Linked DNA regions of Bombyx mori. The protein of the gene in region 1 interacts with the protein of each later gene in a pairwise test. Links are inferred from orthologs where the notes say so. Each region holds a gene or a part of one and is shown on either strand. Other genes may lie near its edges. The genes, in order: DNA replication complex GINS protein SLD5 and probable DNA replication complex GINS protein PSF2.

Region 1 (9,570 bases):
GTGGGCAGCTACGGCCTGTAATGTTAAATTATTTTTGTCTGGACGTTTAATTGATTGTACAATTATCAAAGCGCCAGAACATGCTATTTTACGGTCCTGCACGGGGGTTACCATTGCGCTGCATCTTTTCTCAGCGAAGTAGTCATTAGAAAGTTTCGAAAGTAGCCGTTGTTTCAGTAGAAGACGTTCTATTCATTTGATGATTTGATTTACCAGGTTTAAGACTAGACGTCAGTTTTCACGCTAAGGTGTTTACAGGCTCAGCTAACCATATAACATCTGACGGACAGTAATATTAATTGCCTATCTCAGACAATAAATAATATACTGATGAATAGTGAAACAAACCTGCACAATGAAGAAGTACGAATATATGATGAGAAGAAGTGGGGCGAAGTAAACAAAAACGGAGTAAATAAGAATGTAACTGCGGCTAAACCAATCTTTAGACAGGTAGTCAGTACCGCATGCAGTCATGTTTCCTTCAGGCACATATCTGTAAAAACAAAATATTTTTGTTGCACATGCATTTTACGCATTGAGGCAGCAGGCTCAAGGCAAATTTAAAAAAGTCTTTTGAGCTGAGCGATATATACATATTATCAGTAATGCGTTTCGGTTTGAAGGGCGGGGCAACCGCTGTAACTATACTTGAGGCCTTAGAGATTATATCTCAAGGTGGGTGGCGCATTTACATCGTATATGTCTATGGGCTCCAGTAACCACTTAACACCAGGTGTGCTGTGAGCTCGTCCACCCATATAAGCAATAGAAGAAAAAAAATATTATATATTTTGTATTTCATGGGCACTTCTGTGGTCTATTGAATTGCAATTAATTCTGAAGTACCTCAAGATCAGTTTACGCACCTATTCCAGCCAAAGAAGGGTGCAAGAGTCCAAGCTAGCGAAAATGCCCAAATTCCAAGAATGCGTAGAAGAGCGCCGTTGTTCGTCATTGGTTTTGCCGCAATGCCCTTCACAATAACATTATAGCGGTCGAAAGCAATCATTGTCATCGTCCAAATCGAGGCACACCCAAATAATGAACCGGCACAAGCATATAGCTCGCATGCAAAAGGTCCTAAAAGGAGATGATGTTTAATAAATTTATTTAAAAACAAAAACTCTATTCGCAACATTTTTACTAACCGAAAACCCAAGTTTCATTGTAACAGTTAACGACCATCGCTGGAGACATAGCACACATCATGAGGAAGTCTGAGAATGCCAAATTCACTACGAGAAGGTTTGATGGTGTTTTAAGGCTCTGGAAAATAGTACATTTCATGAGATAAAATCGATCTACCGACGTAAAGTTTCGGCATTTTAAAAGTTATTTATTTTCACAAACCTTTGTTGACATGAAAATGTAAATGACCATTCCGTTACCCGAAATTGATATGAAGCCAAGAACTCCGATTGTGAAGCCTAATAGGGCGTGCCATAGTGGGTTCATAGGTGGAAATTGGTACCTGAAATGAAGTCGTTGAAAAATGATCACTTTAGTTTACGAATTGTTATTGCAATACAACATTGAATGATATTTAAAATAAAATATGAATTAACAACAAACCAATGAGGATCGACCATGTGTAGCATATCAGGTGGTACTTTATCGACAACGGTTTGGTTAGCGGCTCCGTAGGCAGCCACTTGACCACCCCACGCCTGGAGAGCTGCCATTCCTGGTCCAGGATCCAAGGAAATCATTTTCGCACTATTAAAGTTGACTACGTAACCTGAATGATTAAAGTGAAATTTTAGGAAATAGTAATCTAAATTCAATTACTTCCAATTCAATTAAAATAAAAATAACTTGTCATTTTTTGCTCACAAAGAAGGAATGTGAACTTTAATTATGTATTGAAATGGGTATAAAATACTGAAGGAAATCATTAAATGAACTTCAGATTAATTACAGTAAACCGATCTCGTGGTGCGAAGTGTGGCAGGATTGCCGAGGCCGTGGAGGCTACTCGTCTTTACTAGTACGGCTCTGTTTTATATACCTAACGAGGATTAATGTTGCGTTGCAGGAAAATCAATATTCATAATAAGATATACGATGTCTTAGAAGGTGAATATATTATTATCTTGAGGGTGAATTTTACAGGTTTGCATTTACAATTGAAAATGATAATAATAATGTATGATATAAGAAAGTTGTATTTTCGGTTTAACCGTTTAACATAATATGTTTAAATTAAATAATTAATATTTCATGCTAATGGAATAAAAAAAACGAAAGTAGATTTTATTATTCCAAATTGAAATAATTACTTTACCTACATTCTAATGTGGAAAATTATCCGTCTTAGACATAAAATATATGTTAATATAATAAAATATATGTTATATATTAAATTAAAAATTAAATACTAAATTAATAATATTAAAATAATATTATATAATAAAGAATAAAAATAATAATTTTATAACTAAAATATATTATTAAAAGGAGTCCCTTTAGGCAAGGTTCCGAAGATACTGACAGCGAATTAGTCTAGCTATTCCCCCTTTGAATAGCTAGACTAATTCTTTGTCCAAGGTAGCTGCCAGCTCTTCGGTCTCCTGTGGTGTCGACTAACCTTTTTGCTATTTCCTTAAAAAGCTTTATAGCGCTAGGATCCCACGGACCAAGGGTCTCGAGACCGAATGGAACAAAAACATATTCCGAGCCTAGACCCTGTATTTGCATGCTTTGGTTTTTTGAGCCGCTTCACAAGCCGCACCAGCTTTATTGTAGGTTCCATGTAGATGGGAAGGGGCCAGCGTGTCTGAACAGGTTGCATCCCATACCAACACCCGGCCCATCTTCCATGGAATCAAACTCATATCGTCCGGTCTCTTGCCGTCGTCTCTTGCAATACCAGTCGGCTCAAGTAGACTTGGCACGTTGGCAGTGGCAAGGGACCGGCGTATGATATAATTAAGTGCGGCATGTCGCGAGAAGCGGTCTGCACTTTTTTGGCAAGACAGTCCGTGATGTCCTAGCTTGTCGACATCACTGCCACAGGGACATTTATGAGGAACACAGACCGGAACCCCGAGCCGTACACAGGTTGCGATTCGGAGCGTGTCAGGCTCAAGAAATGTTCCTGTATTTGACGAAGGGTACGCGTGAATCCAGTAGCCGGCCTCGTGCGCACCCACAGCCAAAAGCCTAGCACGCGCCGAACCTGTACTACAGCTCAAAAGATTGTCATATGTCAATTTGCAGTTTATGTCGTCCCAGCTCTTCTGTGAATTTAGAGAAACTGGAAAATTTTGACGTGGGCATCCAATTAAGAAAGCGTTTCTAGCTTCTTCCAAGCCAGCAATCTCAAAGTTTTTTACTTATGAGATTTGCTGAACTATGGACAAAAGATAGGAAGGCTGGTAAAGCGACACGAGAAATTTTGCGAGTCCCTAAACCACCAAAACGGATGGGTAGGGATGCATGGGTCCAAGTTAGCTCGTTTAGCTGCATATTAAGAATCGATTCTAAGCCATTTTTGATTAAAGTCTACTTGTGTCAAAAGATCTGGGTGATTCCAAAAAGAGCAGCAATGGAGCACATACGTAAATTTTGGAACGAAAAAACTAAATTTTAAGATGCAAAGTGCTTAATGTGGACTAATTTCAAGGAAACGGTCAGCAGAATTTTGAAATTTAGTAATAAATTTAGTTATTTATAAAATAAACTATGTTTAAGTGCCGCCGTTATAGTACGGTTGATATTTGCAAAGTACAGCTATTTGTAAGTACAGATATTTGTAAGTACAGCTCTGTATTACTGAGGTAATGTAGTTATGCGACTTCAAAGAAGCAGGTTTATGTGGCTAACAAGATTAAATGTCTTCGCTAGTACGTACGTACATTATTCGATACAAAAACTGCAATTAATTGTTTAAAACAAACTAGGTGTGTCCCGCGGCCCACGGCTCTATTTTAAGTAAAATTTAGAATGAATAATGTAAATGTATTTACGGGATGGTCAGTGTGCTTGTACCAAGCACATGTACAACAACTTTCAGTAGTAATGTCCGAAGTAGAGTTCATTGTTCCATCCACAGCTCATTTCTAGAAATAATTCTAGGATGAACTCTATAGCAAAGTATTTCTGAAAGCTATATTCAGACGAGTTTTGAAAATAATATGTAGTTTTAAGTGGGAGGCGACGCACTCTTTCATAGTGTCAGCACTGGCTTTTCTCTTCTGAATATCGACTTTTTTCGTTTTCTTGCTCTTCATCCCTAATTTTACTAGTAAGATAAGGCTTGCTGTAAGCCTACTAGGATGGCTCGAGCACCCATTACTACTGAGACTTCCACAACATGAAGCAATAAAAAAATATTTAAAAATATTAACCATTCAACCCTTCAAACCAGGATGATGATTGGTTTGCACAAGAAATAAACAAGATGGTATGGCGGCTTATACTAATTTTATTACAGCGTTCGATGTTATTCCTTCACTACTAAACTTTGTTCAAGAACACAGTGGAGAAACATACTTAACATACAGGAACATTATCATTTGTAGAAATCGAACTTGATATTAAATATCATCGAGACTCATAGCTGCTCACTCACTCTTCGTAGTATTACTTATGATAGAAATAGATAAAACATTGGTTCAAACTAGAGGTGGCTAATATAACCAATAACCAATAAATTTACCGGTAAAAAAAATTAACACTTCTATTCGATAAATAAAATTACCCAAAACGGTTAAAAATACCGTTTACCAAACACACTGCGTGTAGTGGCATAGGCAATTATTGGAAATTATATTTATGCAAGTTTCAACTTTATTTCAACACGTAAGATTCATTTTCGCCTTGCAGATGTCTTCAACTTATCATGTAAAAAATATTGAATTTTATGATTTCATTGTATGCTCTATACCCCTCAAAATAAAGCACAATATTTAAGTTGGTGTATTTTACAGTTAATGATAATTTTTTTCGTTAAAAAATTGAAATGAAACGATATTTTTACCGAACGCGAAGATGACGTGATTGGTTGATTTTTTAAACGTAATATTTTGTTTGGTACTTGACATTTTGGTGGCTCAGTGCATCTTTTCTATTATTTTGGTAAAGTTGTGTTTTTGTATTTTAAGAGATTTGTACTTTGTGTTTGTGTGTTTTGACTTTGTTTTTGTGTGTTTGAGACTTTGCTTACTTTGTTGTTGTGGATTTTTAAATTGTATATCTAATTTAAAATGCCGAAACGCAATGCAGAAATATGGGATCATTTCGAAAAGTGCTAGTACCATTCAAGTTTAACATTAGCAAAATTAATTTTTCAACGAAAAGATTTACCGGTATTTTCAACCAATAAAAATATCGGTAATTTTTTTTATCAATTACCAGTTAACAGATAAATAAATTCAACCGTTAACGCCATCTCTAGTTCAAACCAACAAAGTTTTAAACAAATAGTAAGCAAAAAAATCTGTGAGAAAAAAAATTACATTATTTTACCATAAACTTATTATTTCAATAAAGGTAGTAGAAATAAAATCCCGTGCTATTCAGAAGAAAAAAAAAATTAATGACAATTGAGGTATGTCATAAAGTAACAATTTGTTTAGTACAGAAAGCAAGACAAAAATACAGAAAATTTTAATAAAAGAAAAAGATAAAAGAAAAAAAAACTATGATTGTAATGTAGTGAAACATGAATGCGATTATATACTCTTTAAATTTATAATGAATTGGTAAAAAAAGCTCTTTAGAACCTAAAAAACACCAGAACTCAAATTCGAGTCGTGAAAGCTAGAATAATATCATTCAGTGACAATCTAAAGTTGCACTAGAATTCTGTGGGTATATATAATTTAGAAGAATATGGAGTCAACCGAAGAGTTGCAGTTCAGTGATGATGAAGAAGAAGTAACAGCTGAGACTGTTTTAAAAACACTACAAAGTGCTTGGCAAAATGAAAGATTGTCCCCAGAAATACTCCCTCATCAAAATGACATGGTAGAATGTATGTTAGGTCAAATACAACACATGGAAAGAAACATAAATAAACTTTCAAAAACTGATTTGAGAACTTCTATACACAAAATGGAGATTAGCAGAATTAAATTTATTATTTGTAATTATCTTAAAACTAGACTGAATAAGATTGAAAAATATTGCATTCCAATACTAAACCAAGAAAGACAAAGAATAGAAACTGATACTAATTACCTAACACCATCAGAATATAAATATGCTCAAGAATATGTTTTGAACATGGAAAATCATATGAAAAATGTGGTATTAAATAAAATGCCTGGTAATATGCAAGTCTTTGAAATGAACAAAATGGCAGAACATCCTAATTTACAAACGCATGTATTCCTTAAAGCCAATGAAACCATTAATGGGGTTGTATTAGAAGACTTGACTGGTGAAGATGAAGAAATTGACTTAGAAGGTTTGTTATTGATTTTCTCACAACTGAAACACATTATAGGTTTTCTTTTGTTATACTTTGATAGATAGAGCAATACCCTTGTTGGTTTAATGACCTTGACTATTGTACCACAGGATATCACCTATATCATTGAAGTTATCATGACTTAAATAATAATATTATGGTATATTGAATGATTTGATTATATATGTCTTAAATTGAATCTAATTCTGTTTGATTAATCCACAAAAAAGAAATAACACTATGGAAACAATAAACTTGCCAAAATAAAAATAATATCCCATAATTATTGGTGGTAGGCCATATGGGAATGTGTCACCAATTAATTAGTCTCTGCCATAAAGCAGTCATGAAGTTTGAAGAATGGGGACAGTCCCCATACTAGACAATGGAGACTTAGACCTCATATCTCAGGAGGTATTCACTTTTTATAGTATTTATAGATTTTGGTGAACATTTAACATTGTGTATGTCTGACACATACAACACTTCTGAACATACATTATGTAGCAATCTCAGAAATAAAAAAAAATCAAACACAGTGAATGATATTTACCATAGGAGTTAAAATCTTATACTTTTAAACTAATCTAAAGTGCAAAGTTGTGCTATAATTAAAATTATTATTTTTTTTAATTAAAACCTTGAGGCAAGAGTTCTAAGTCTCCGTTTTATGACTCAGTTAATGGCTGCCCCAACTCTTAAACCAAAACGCATTACTGCTTCATGGCAGAAATAGGCAGGGTGGTGGTACACATCATGCAGGCTCACAAGACACCGTACCACTAGTGAAAGTGTAAGTAAGATGTTAAATGATAAAGCTGTAATGTAAAAATGCTTGTAATTACCTTAACATTTCAATTTAAAGTCTAAATTTTATTGTAGGTATGTAGCCCAACCATATACTTACACCAGTAAAGTCAAATTTATTAATTTCGTAGGTTTGTAATTGCAGTAATGCTATCTATATAAATACTAAGTTTATGCATTTCCTCAGAAAACTAGGGAATGTCATAGAATTTTAAATCTGAAATAGCAGTAGCTATCATAGGACAAAAATTGAGCAAAAACTGAAACCATGCAAAAAAAAATACAAGAAAAATCTAAGATATATAAAAGTTTCAAACAACATTTGGACTACTGGCTTCACAAGAAATAATTACTGCTCTGTGGAAGATTACCTGTTCATGATTTTCACTATACTAAATGTTAACTTGTTAATAACAGCCACAAGTTTTACTGTATTGTTTACAATTAAATTTTTTTATTTAAGTAAAAATCTTGCTAAAAGTGTGGGCTCAGACTAAGAATAAATAAAATGCAGTATAATGTCTTTAATACTACTTATTTCTTTCAGAGGGCTCGCAGCACATCTTGCAATACAAACCAATTGCAGATCTTTTAAAGAACGGGAAAGTCACATTGTTATGATAGTAAATTTTCTGTAAACACTTTGTATTTCATTTATTTTTAAAACATTTGTAGCTAGTTTAATAAATTAAACAAAATTAATTTTTACTTTCAGTTTATTGTAAATTAACATAATAAATATACAAGGTAAGTACACAATAAGTACTGAAGTATTATAATCTCACAAAATTTAAATATATTTCAAAGTTACAATTACTACTTATGTAAGAATAGACAGTTGAAACATTAAAAAACTACAATGTAAATTTATTTGTAATTATATCACAATATTTTTTCATAAAGCACTTATTTATATTTAAGTTAAATCTGACAGCTTACTATTTTTCCTTACAAAAATATATCTGGAATTTGGATACATTTTATTGGCTAGCTAGGCTAGGTTAGGTTATAATGAACAGCACCTTACTAGCAGATCTTAAAATTTAAACATTAATCTACATATATTCGATAAAAACCTTATTATAATCAACATATTGTGTAATAAGTTACTTTTTTGTATGTTGCCATAGTAAAATGTACATTGTACAAACATAAAGCAAAGATACAAATTTAAAAGATTGCTTATAAATAGAGTATTAAATATGGACTGTAAATAAAATAATTTAAATACATATATGTATAACTAAATAAGTACTATGATTATTATTGGTAACATTTAAAGCTTCCTCATTATTTAAAAGTAACAGAAATAAACTCTTTGTGAAAATAGGTATATGTAGATAAATAATTTAAACAAATAGTTCGTTATGACCCTGTAAATGTGAATTGGACTAAAGATATCCATGCACTATTAATTTAGAGACACGACGTGTACTTTGGTGACAACCGTTTAAAATAGTAATTTAACAGTTGTGGTGGATATAATTTCTTACTTATCTATGTTAGTGTTACCGGGACTTTATAATATTCTTAATTAGATATAAACATCGCCAATGCTATTATCAAGTAAATACGACATTAAAAAAACCTACAGCAAACAGTGGGAACCTGTGAATGTTGCCTCAATTAAAGCTTCGATCTGACGTTTTAAGGCGGGCGGTAGTTTCTCGTCGAGGGTATTCAACTGTGGAGTCTATGGATACTTGTAATCTTTTAAAACCAAGTGTATCTCGAACTTGGCTGCCCAGCTATGGCAATGTATTAATTTGAAAGTAATCTTGTACCAACGAATTAAGTACCATCAAAATTTAAGTAACACATTAAGTACATCGTACATAAAACCGGCTTTCGACTCGCCTGTTGTTAAGTAATTATTTGAGCTCATAGACACCACAACGGAATGCCGCCTGCCACTTTTTGGACTGAAGTACCTATCAATTTGTAATGACGATTATGACAAATAGGCGAGTACGTGTGTTACATAATATTAACGTTTCTGTTACGTAATAAAACGTTCAGTTATTTCGTTTTATCCTGGTCGTCCGCGTCGACGTATTGTATGTGTTGTGCGTGTGCGTCCCGCGCAAGTTCTCTAAGGCTCTGCTCTGAGGCGGGACCCAATTGTTTAACCATTTTCGAGAAATGCCCGTTATCGTTCTTAAGTAGCTCGTAAGGGTGGCCACATTCGACGATCTGGCCTGCTTCCATGACCTACAAGCAAATGTTGAGCACATTCATAAGACTGGCACAGCCATTAATAATTCGTTGTTTTTCAATTTGTGAATACGAGTAGACGAAGTCACGACAAGAAGGATATTAAACAATAAATCATAGCTCTTAAACTT
Region 2 (9,547 bases), on another chromosome or scaffold:
ATATATAAATAGATATTCATCATGAAAATAAGATCAAGCACAGATAGATAATGAATTAAAATAGAATTTAGAGTGATATGAGTGATGTGATACTAAAAATAAGTCTTTATCATAGTACCATAAATATGGCGCAGGTAGCGCGCAAGTCATTTGAACAAATCGCTGTCTTAAATAATATAGATAAATAGTAGTTTAAAAACTAAAAAAACATACTTCTATAGCAAATCGAACAATTAATTTCATCTTTTTTATCCTGTTAGTATTAGTCAGGATATTAGAGCGAACTTATTTAAGTAGTTTTGACATCGGAACTTGATGCGTTTGCTAATTATTAGGTTAGTCAGACGTGTTAACGTCGGCGAAATATCTCGTTACAAACTTCTAATAAGAACTTGTTAAAATTAGTATTTTCGTCAGTTATCACGAATTGTAAACGTAATTAAACATACTTTTTACGTTCACGTTGATCTCCCATTTATTTAAAATAAAGCAATTGCAATAAAGCAATTATATTAATACAATTCGAAATCTTTACAGTTTTCGTCGCCACGTACGAATAAGCAACCATAGCTTATTACATTTGAATTTTTGTAAGCAACCACAGAGATTAAGCCGTAAAAATAGTTAAAATTACGTCAACAAATAATGCTTACAGGAGTCAGTGAAAAACTATGAAATATATAAAATTGTATACTTATACAAAAGTTCGTAACAACAGTCATAAGATAGTATGAAAGTTCTGTGCAAGCGGCAGAGGCCAAGCGTAATTACAATAATTCACTTTACACTCCACAAGGGACGTAGATATATGAAAATGTTAGTTCATTGTTCTTACCGGAGTAATTAGCAGTTTAAAAAATATCTCCTCTTTGGAACAGCACTTCCGTTTCATTTTTATCTTTGTTTTGACTATACCCCCTTCATAAATCAATGATTTTCTATGAATCGACGCGTCTTTTATAAGTCGAGTCGAAATTTTGTGATATCATAGTTAATATACATAAATTAGTAAATATACCATAATATTAGAATTGAAAGTTCATCTTATAAGAAGGGATCTCTTCCAGACGATTGGATAATAAAGACAAAAAAAGAAGTGATGTATAAATTAATTGTTGTTTGCACTTGAATGAAATATTTCTACCATAGCACCGTCAACGTACCTCAAATGACTTTTGTGTATTTTGAACTAATAGGTGTATTTAATGAATTTATTCTGGACATGTTACAAACAAAAAACATTAGTTTCGTTTAATTAAGAACTTGGAAAATACTGTTAGTTGTGACTCTAACCGCCACCTTTTGTGGAAATTTGAAACTAGTAAACGTAATGGAAGTACATACGTATTGAAAATAGATGTCGCTAGATGCATCGAATGTCACATTTGACATATTTATGGCGCGAAAAAACGCCTTAAAACAGAATGGGTTTTAAATGACTAGCTGAATTTCCGGGCGCGATCTCACGAATTTGTATGCAGATTTAAGAAGAAAGATGTTGAATGTTGTTGCTCGGAGACAATGTGTTTTTCGCTCGTGCAGACACATCTGTTATTTATTTGTCGCATTCAAGACAGGTTACTTTTATAAATCTCCAAGATGTTTTTTATCTGTGACGTTTTTATGTTTCGTGAAATCGCTGAATGCTTTTTCTTCTTGTGATTATTTCACTGTAGTATGTTTACATATTTCAAAGGTTTACCAGAAAATAAATGAAATATTAGTATTTTCTATGATAAAAGATAGACTCTACAGATTAAATATGATTCGTTCAAAATAAAATTTATTGCCATTTTCATAGTGTCGAATAGGTGCGTTACTAAAAACTCCGACGAAATAGTAGACTTAGCACTGAAATTGGGCGAATGAAATACATAGTGATCAGTTTATAGACAGAGCAATGTATGTGTTTTTTCCAAACTAAGAGACGCATAAACTTACTGTTCTCTCTGACACAAGGGGGTGAGTCCCCACCAATAATATAGAGCCATAAATATCACCCGTCTGAGACATTGTCAACCGGCTACCCTAATTTACGAGGAGTAATTAGGAGTTTGCACTCTGCCAAAACGATTTGCATCGATCGCCACTCGTAAATGACGTCAATAATTTTAAATGGTAATTTCAATGTTTTACTTTTATGCAGAGAGATGAAGAGTGAGCGAGTTTCGCGTTTTATTTCAGGATTATGCTAACGACTAAATTACATGTAAGGCTAACTTATGCAATTTGAGTTTAAATTAAGCAATTCACAAAAATAATACCCACTTATTTAATGTTCTTTATTTACGATTCCACTTAAAATTGTTCTATAACTACGATTTTTTTTAAAGTAGATTTTTTTTATTTTAGTGCCACCTAGTTCAATCATCTGAACTACGCCAGCTTTAGTGAAAACAAACCATCTATGTCAGTTATTTAAATGTAGCATAGATGACGCTTAAATAAGCAAATTTAAAGAAAACATGTAAATTAAAACTTAATTACCTACTTCCAGTATCGCCATTCATACAGCTATTTAAAACACTGGATTTATGAAACTTATTTCATAAATTCGATCTACTAAGTCGTATTATTTAAACGTTATTCCCGCCAATTTTCCTTTTTTTTAAGGGATTTTATGAACTGGTAACTAAGACTTTTAGGTCATTTTTCGTATTTTCGTATTTTAATTTATATTCATAGTTTTATGAAAAATGATAATATGGAGTGAAATGAAATGAAAATAATTAATTTGAGACATTAATCAACTGGGATGAAATATAATCTCAGTAAAATGGTGGTCACTTACCGCCAAAAAATCTGCATCACTATGTCAGTATGTCAAAGCATAGAACACTTACTATTTGAGTTTCAAAGTCAAACAATTAAGCTCTATAAACAAGAGTAAATATCAGTGGTCTCGAACCTACCGATTTTTCGGTATATCTACCGATATGGGCACTGATCTATTGAAATACCGAAATAAAATGATTTTTCTACGATTTCAGAGTATACATGGAAATTCTCCCGATTTTTCTACCGATTTGACACTTTTAGACATTATTGATCCAAAACATGTTAAAATTGGCAAGACTACTTCGATACTACTTAAAAGTAGGCTCTTTCCCAATATTGTTCAGAGCAATGATTTCCAGGAAATTGATAGAGTAGCGCATTTTAAGAAATTGTGAATAAATCAAAACATTTCCTAATGATGTAGAACTATTTTGGGAAGAAGTAACTTTATTAAAACGTGGCGATGAAACTCAAATGTTTCCTTTGTTGTCTAATTTCATCCTTAATATTTTATCACTTTCCTATTCATCCGCTAACGTTGAACGCATATTTATTCTTTTGAAAACAAAACAGCGAAATAGGCTGTCTACTGAGTCAATCACTGGTCTATTACATGCAAAACGACTCTATAATACAGCTAATTGCTATGATTTTGAAATTAATTCAACGATGACTGCAGCTATGGCCAAACAATATTGGTATAAAAAATATTTATTCTTAAATATGATTGTTATAAATTAGTATGTAAGTTTTTTTTTCAATAAATAAACGCATTTGATTGAATATTGTATATTTTTTGACTAATACCGATTTTGGGTACAAAATAGTACAAATGTACCGATTTTAGCTGGCAAGTCTACTAATCTCGCTCTATGACGTTTGAGATCAGTGATAAAGATAAGGCGACTTTTTGGCGGGAACGCGAGGAGTGAAGTTGTGTGTTTTGTTTTATTTTGTCTATTTAGTGTTTCTTGGGTTTATATGTGTAATAATGGTGGTTTATTAACTGTTTAATATCTGTGAAAGTGCAAAAATGTGGGAAAATGAAACAAAGCCGCTGGACGTCACTTCTCGGGATCCTCCAAAAGTCCAACGAAAAAATCTCAGTAAATGACCACCATTTTACTGAGATTATAGTTCATCCCATATCATCTCATCTCATTTCATTTGATTTCATCCCAGTTAATTAATGTCTCAAATTAATTATCTTCATTTCATTTCATCATTTTTCATAAAAATAAGAGTATAAATTAAAATAAGACATGACTTAAAAGTCTTAGTTACCAGGTCATAATATAAAATACCTAAAAAAATATGATAAATAAAAACATGATAAAGGTAGGTAATATTCCTAAATTTTTAACCAAAATGAATTAAATTAAATATATGTATATTATTAAATGATTATAAATTATTAAAACCATAAAAATAATAATGGAACCTTATGAAATCGAGTTTATTGGTGAGAATCGGATAATCAGTATAACACCAAACTTTACCCATGATAAAATATACTTGATATGCGGTGAATTTGGTCCGTTTCGTGCTGGTTTACCTGTGAACGTACCACTCTGGCTGGCTATCATGCTAAAGCAGAAACAAAAGTGCCATGTTATCCCTCCTGACTGGATGGACGTGGAAGTTTTGGAGAATATTAAAGAAGAGGAAAAGCGTTCCAGGTTTGTCAATATATTTAATAAATTTGGTTTTTTACAAAACACACCAGTTTCAAAACTTTGATCTTTCTAGGTGGTCCAGTTTATTCCAGATACAATTTAATATTTTGTTTATACAACTTCCATGTCTTAATTTTAAATCAAAAAGTATATTTTATTATTATGGTTTATGTTATAAATACCTTCTAGAGCCATCCATTCTAACACTGATACTAAACAATAACTATTAGTGGTCTACCTGTTAATAAATCTCAAATTGTAACATGATTAAAAAACTTGAAGTTCATTGGTCAATAAATATATCTTTGCCAGTACTCATGAAAGGGTGTGTAAATATAAAATCTATCATTAAATGGCGTTTGAGAATTATCAGCAAGATAAAGCAAGTAGTTGTAGTAGTCAAAGTTTTCACATTAAATCTTCCTAAAATTATCAAACTACCAGATTCTTCACAAAGATGCCAAATGAACACTATATGGTGGAAGCCAAACTGATACTTGGTTCAGCTGCCGAAGATGTTCCCAATGCACCAGAAATAAAGACTATTATCAAAGACATCTGGGATATAAGAATGTCTAAGTTACGAACATCAATGGATGCATTGATGAAAACTGGAGGTTTGTAATGATTCCTTTAAAATACTTTACTTTTAAGTACTTTTAACTTACATTTTAAAGATTTTTGAATTGAGAGGATTTTATATTTTATTTTATTGTAACTGATGATATTGTAAACCTGCATGGATCAGAAAGCCTATAATGATGATATGTGGTCTTCGGTAACAACTTAACACCAGAATGGTATGCTTAAATTAAGATAAGAAAAAAATATAGAATGTGACTTACTCAGTCATAAGTTAAATTCAGGACATTTATAATTGACATTTTCAGGTGGCTATGGCAGATTAGATCATTTAACAATGATGGAAATAAACTCAGTGAAACCTCTTCTACCTGCTGCTATGGACAACCTCTTAAGGATGCAAATGGTAAGAACATGTGTGACAAATTGTAATATACTCTCCTTTAGACACATCCTTCTGTATTTTCATCTCCACTTTGTCCTTTTTACGAATATCTCTGAATGTATGTACCATCCTTCGGACCATCTTATACGTGACACATTTATGCATTCTACTCTGAAGGATCCTTGGATTTCTGTTCTAGACTTCACTCTCGTGTCCTAGTAGAAGGGCAAATCACATTGTTGTGATGATGATGTGTGTTACCAAAACTAAAACTGTGAGTGTGCAGTGAGTTCAGCTAACCTAAGGTTTAGTAACTACGGTAATTTGGAGTTTGTAAACCTGGTCTTATCAATATCATTGTTAAACTTAAATTCGGTATTGAAGATTTTTTTATTTGTTTTATAGAGTAAATTACAGTAAGCTGTCTTTAGACTTTCAACTGTAGTTTTGACAAAAATAATTTGATAGGCAGTACACGCACAATGTCCATATCAGTGAATCTACACTGGATCTAGTAGATCTGAAGACACTCTTCTTCAGTCTTCTTGTTGTCATTTGGTTGTCCGTTAGATGCTTAGCAAGGTTATTTGGGTGGGCTTTAAAATTGAAGATCTGAGTGCAATTATTCTTATATGTACTTGCAGTACAGTTTTGTAACAAATAATCAACTTTTTGTTTTACAGAAAACGAAAAAGACAGCACCATCGCTCAATTTAAATAGTTCAACCTTCAGTCAATCAGGGAGCTCTCAAAATACATAGTTTTAAGTGTAGTTAAGTGTAGTTTAAGTTTAGTAAGTTCTTAATACTTTTTAATGATTTTGTAACAAAGTGGTTGGTAACAATCAAAAAGTGGTAATAACATTAAAAACACTTATTGTAACCTTGTTTTTATTCTTTTTAGATATTTAAAATTGCATGCATTTAGAGTTGATCTTATTATATTAAACATTTGATAACCTGTTGTTTTAGACCGAAACCTCAAATCTCAACAGTTTTTATTTTTCACTGCCTAATCTTCGGTAGCCTACGGGGCTGTTCAACTACGCGCGGACCATTAGGTGGGCTCATGGGCACAACCTGGAAAAATATGCTAACACCAGCCCTAACAAAAGCAGTGCTTCGCAGAATCTACCACCGGATCGGAACCGCGACCCACTTAGAAGATCCGGCGGGAAATTAAGTGGGCTGTGTCTATGGACTAGCTCGCACGTCGAACTCTTCAGTTCAGTTCGTCAACGCGTCAGTAATCGATGAATTCGACGAAGACAATGACCACTGCTTAAAGACCTAAAAGCACCGAGAGCGGATGTTGAGGACCCGACAAGATAAATTTTGGGCGACGGCGGCTGCCTTGTCCCGTCGCCTGGGTGCGATATGTAACAGGTCTACAAAAAAAATTATTTTTTTCTACTTTTTTTTCATAGATGAATTCATTATATTTTGTGCTCCAAACACGGAATCTGACATACAATTAGTTACCACACGTAGATTCCCATATAATATTTATTTAATTAACAAACAATATTATTAAAATATCAATTATCATAACGAAATGAAAACATATTTCGGTCTAAGTTTTACAGTGAAAAATCTGAAATTATAGTCACAAAATGAATATATATCGGTCAGTTATCTCATTATATGGTGAGAAGATTTATTTTGTGGTTTTTTTATTTGTCATCGTTTCTATTGGAGTTTCTCAGCGAATTGACCAACAGAAATCAGCAAGCACTGCTGCTGACCATTTCCCACTGTAGCGTTTTTCAATGTGCATTATATCCTGATGAAACCTTTCACCATATTCATCTGATACGGCTCCAAGATTTTCAGGAAAGAGATCTAAAAGAGAGTCGGAAAAATAAATCTTGAGTGACATATTGCATCCTAAAGCTTTATAAGCAAAAAGAAGCTCCCGAATGATTTGTCAGTAGTTCTCACTTTTTCTGTTCCCAAGAAAATTATGACAAACTTTCACAAAAGCCGCCCAAGCTCTTTTTTCTGCTTCGTTCAACTTCGAATTAAAATTTTCATCTTTCATTAGCTCACGTAAGTATCTGTTGATCTACAAAAATTTCTTCCTTCAATTTTGCGTCACTGATTCGAGGAATTTTGGTTTTTAGATATTGAAATTATTCATTGATATTAATTTTAGATATAGTTTTTCTTGAGTCCCAACCTTATGTGAGTGGTGGCAGAAATTTTTTCTCACTTGGCACCAAAGGTTTCTGAGACACATTTTTAAGCCCAGGATTTAAAGTTTTTATCTTGCGTGACTGTCCCACTCACAAAGAAAACGGCAAAACTTTGTGTACCCTCATTGTAATCCGGTGAGTATAGCGACGACTTTTAAATCAGCACAAATATTCCATAAGTAGTTTGAGTTCCATAAAGGTTTGAAAAAAAAAACATATCAAAAAATCTAGACGTGATGGAAAAAATCGGCCAAGGGGTATAGATTCAGAACATTTAAATCGTCATATTTATGACAAAAAATTTTAAAGGAGGATTTCATTGCATACCTGTGTAATTAGCGGTGGCCATTAAAAGAGATTTATAGTGTGGTGCCACTTTATAAAAGTTGTGTTCTGACGCTTCCAGATCGGTTTCGCTTAAAAATCCGAGGTATTGCTTACCCCTGCTATTACCTGTCCCTTTATTATTATTTTTTCGGGCCGGAGGCCGAACCTCCTACGAGATCCCCGGCGGGGTATGTGGGGCTGGTCCGCGAATGCGAGACCGCGGGCCCAAGGAATTTTAGGACCGTACCGCACTAAATGACCCCTGCGTTCTTACACCCGACGTCCGATCTCCGTCTGGGGTCAGAACCCGGTCAGAGTAGGGAGGTTCCCGCGGTCAACGCTACAACCAGACACGCGGCGCCACCCCGAGGACGCCCGACCGACGAGTCGTCGAGGCGATAGTCAACGACCAACGACGTCGGTCTCCGCGGTACGGCGGCCCTACCAGGCCGCCTCGCGCTGGTGTTCCGGGATACCCCGCTGGGCCAGAACCAGCCTGTCGGAAGGCGATACACCGCCGAGCGGGTTGCTACTACTACCTGATCCCTACATTAACAGTTCCATATTGGTGTTATTTTCTGTCAATATAGTTTCGTTTTAACAATCCCTTACAATTGCTTTGTATAGAAATAAAATAAAAAATTCATAAGAAAAAAATATATTTCTTCTGAAAACCAAGATTTACAATTCTTCACTTAAATGTAAAAAAGTAGAAGACGCAAACTACGAACCTAATTAATTGCTCTGTTAGTCTTATTTATGTCACTATAAGGTACTTATTAAATTTAAATGCACTTAGCCTAGATTATAATCTAGATAGGCAGCTTCAATTAATAAACTATAAAATATTAATTTATATTTTTATCTATCAAAGAAATATTGAAATTTAATATAATTATGTACCTACATAAATTAAGGATTATTTAATCAAAGATACAAACAAACGGTCAATGAACTTAGAATTCAGTCATGTATTTTCAAACAGAAGCACAGGGATATTAATCATTTTCTATGTTTCCAAAAGGTGATTGGTCTAGTATATTATAAAACGACCATTTGTTTTAAAGTAAGATTCCTTTAAATGTATGTTCCATCAAAAGAATTAAACTTGTATTTAAGGAAATTTATGTAAAATAATTACTACAAAAAACCCCATATACTTCTGTTGTTCACAATTATGTATGTATATTACTAGTAGTTAGTTATGGCCATCAATGATTATTACGAATCAAACTTAATTTATAATGTTTTTAACTGGAATGTCACATTTACGGTTGAGATAATTTTACAAAAGAAAGCGTTTCATAGAGATCCTAATCCAAAACATTAGACACACAGATAATATAAAAATCTTAATTTAAATAAACGAGAATTGATAATTATTATGAATACACAAGTTTCAGTTTCCAATGCTGTTAGTTTTTATTGAACAAATTATCAAGTATGACATTTTAATCTGCTGACGTGTCAAGAAGAATTCCTCACGTATCCAAATTTAAAAATAAAACTGTATCAACTAAAAGAAAACATGTTTTAAAAGCAAATAAACCTTACACACAATCTTATGTTACACAGCTTTAGCTGCTTAATGTAGATACAAGTTGA

What was found.
Region 2: the proteins of DNA replication complex GINS protein SLD5 (region 1) and probable DNA replication complex GINS protein PSF2 interact in a two-hybrid assay, tested with the Drosophila melanogaster proteins (2 studies listed by BioGRID). The link is inferred for Bombyx mori from reciprocal best matches to the Drosophila melanogaster genes Sld5 and Psf2.

What each region holds. Positions count from the first base shown.
Region 1 is NC_085121.1:9,242,171-9,251,740, forward strand, and holds DNA replication complex GINS protein SLD5, read left to right. Parts: upstream 1-4,641; 5' UTR 4,642-5,838; coding exon 5,839-6,415; intron 6,416-7,097; coding exon of another isoform or gene 7,098-7,120; exon of another isoform or gene 7,121-7,772; coding exon 7,773-7,846; 3' UTR 7,847-7,866; downstream 7,867-9,570. Other genes in the region: opsin-1, read right to left, coding at 1-15, 349-496, 870-1,083, 1,152-1,269, 1,354-1,474, 1,576-1,741, 4,498-4,504; ATP-binding cassette sub-family C member 4, read right to left, coding at 9,245-9,436.
Region 2 is NC_085116.1:1,522,280-1,531,826, forward strand, and holds probable DNA replication complex GINS protein PSF2, read left to right. Parts: upstream 1-3,679; 5' UTR 3,680-4,212; coding exon 4,213-4,457; intron 4,458-4,898; coding exon 4,899-5,071; intron 5,072-5,344; coding exon 5,345-5,640; 3' UTR 5,641-6,104; coding exon of another isoform or gene 6,105-6,182; 3' UTR 6,183-6,303; downstream 6,304-9,547. UniProt on the Drosophila melanogaster protein: The GINS complex plays an essential role in the initiation of DNA replication.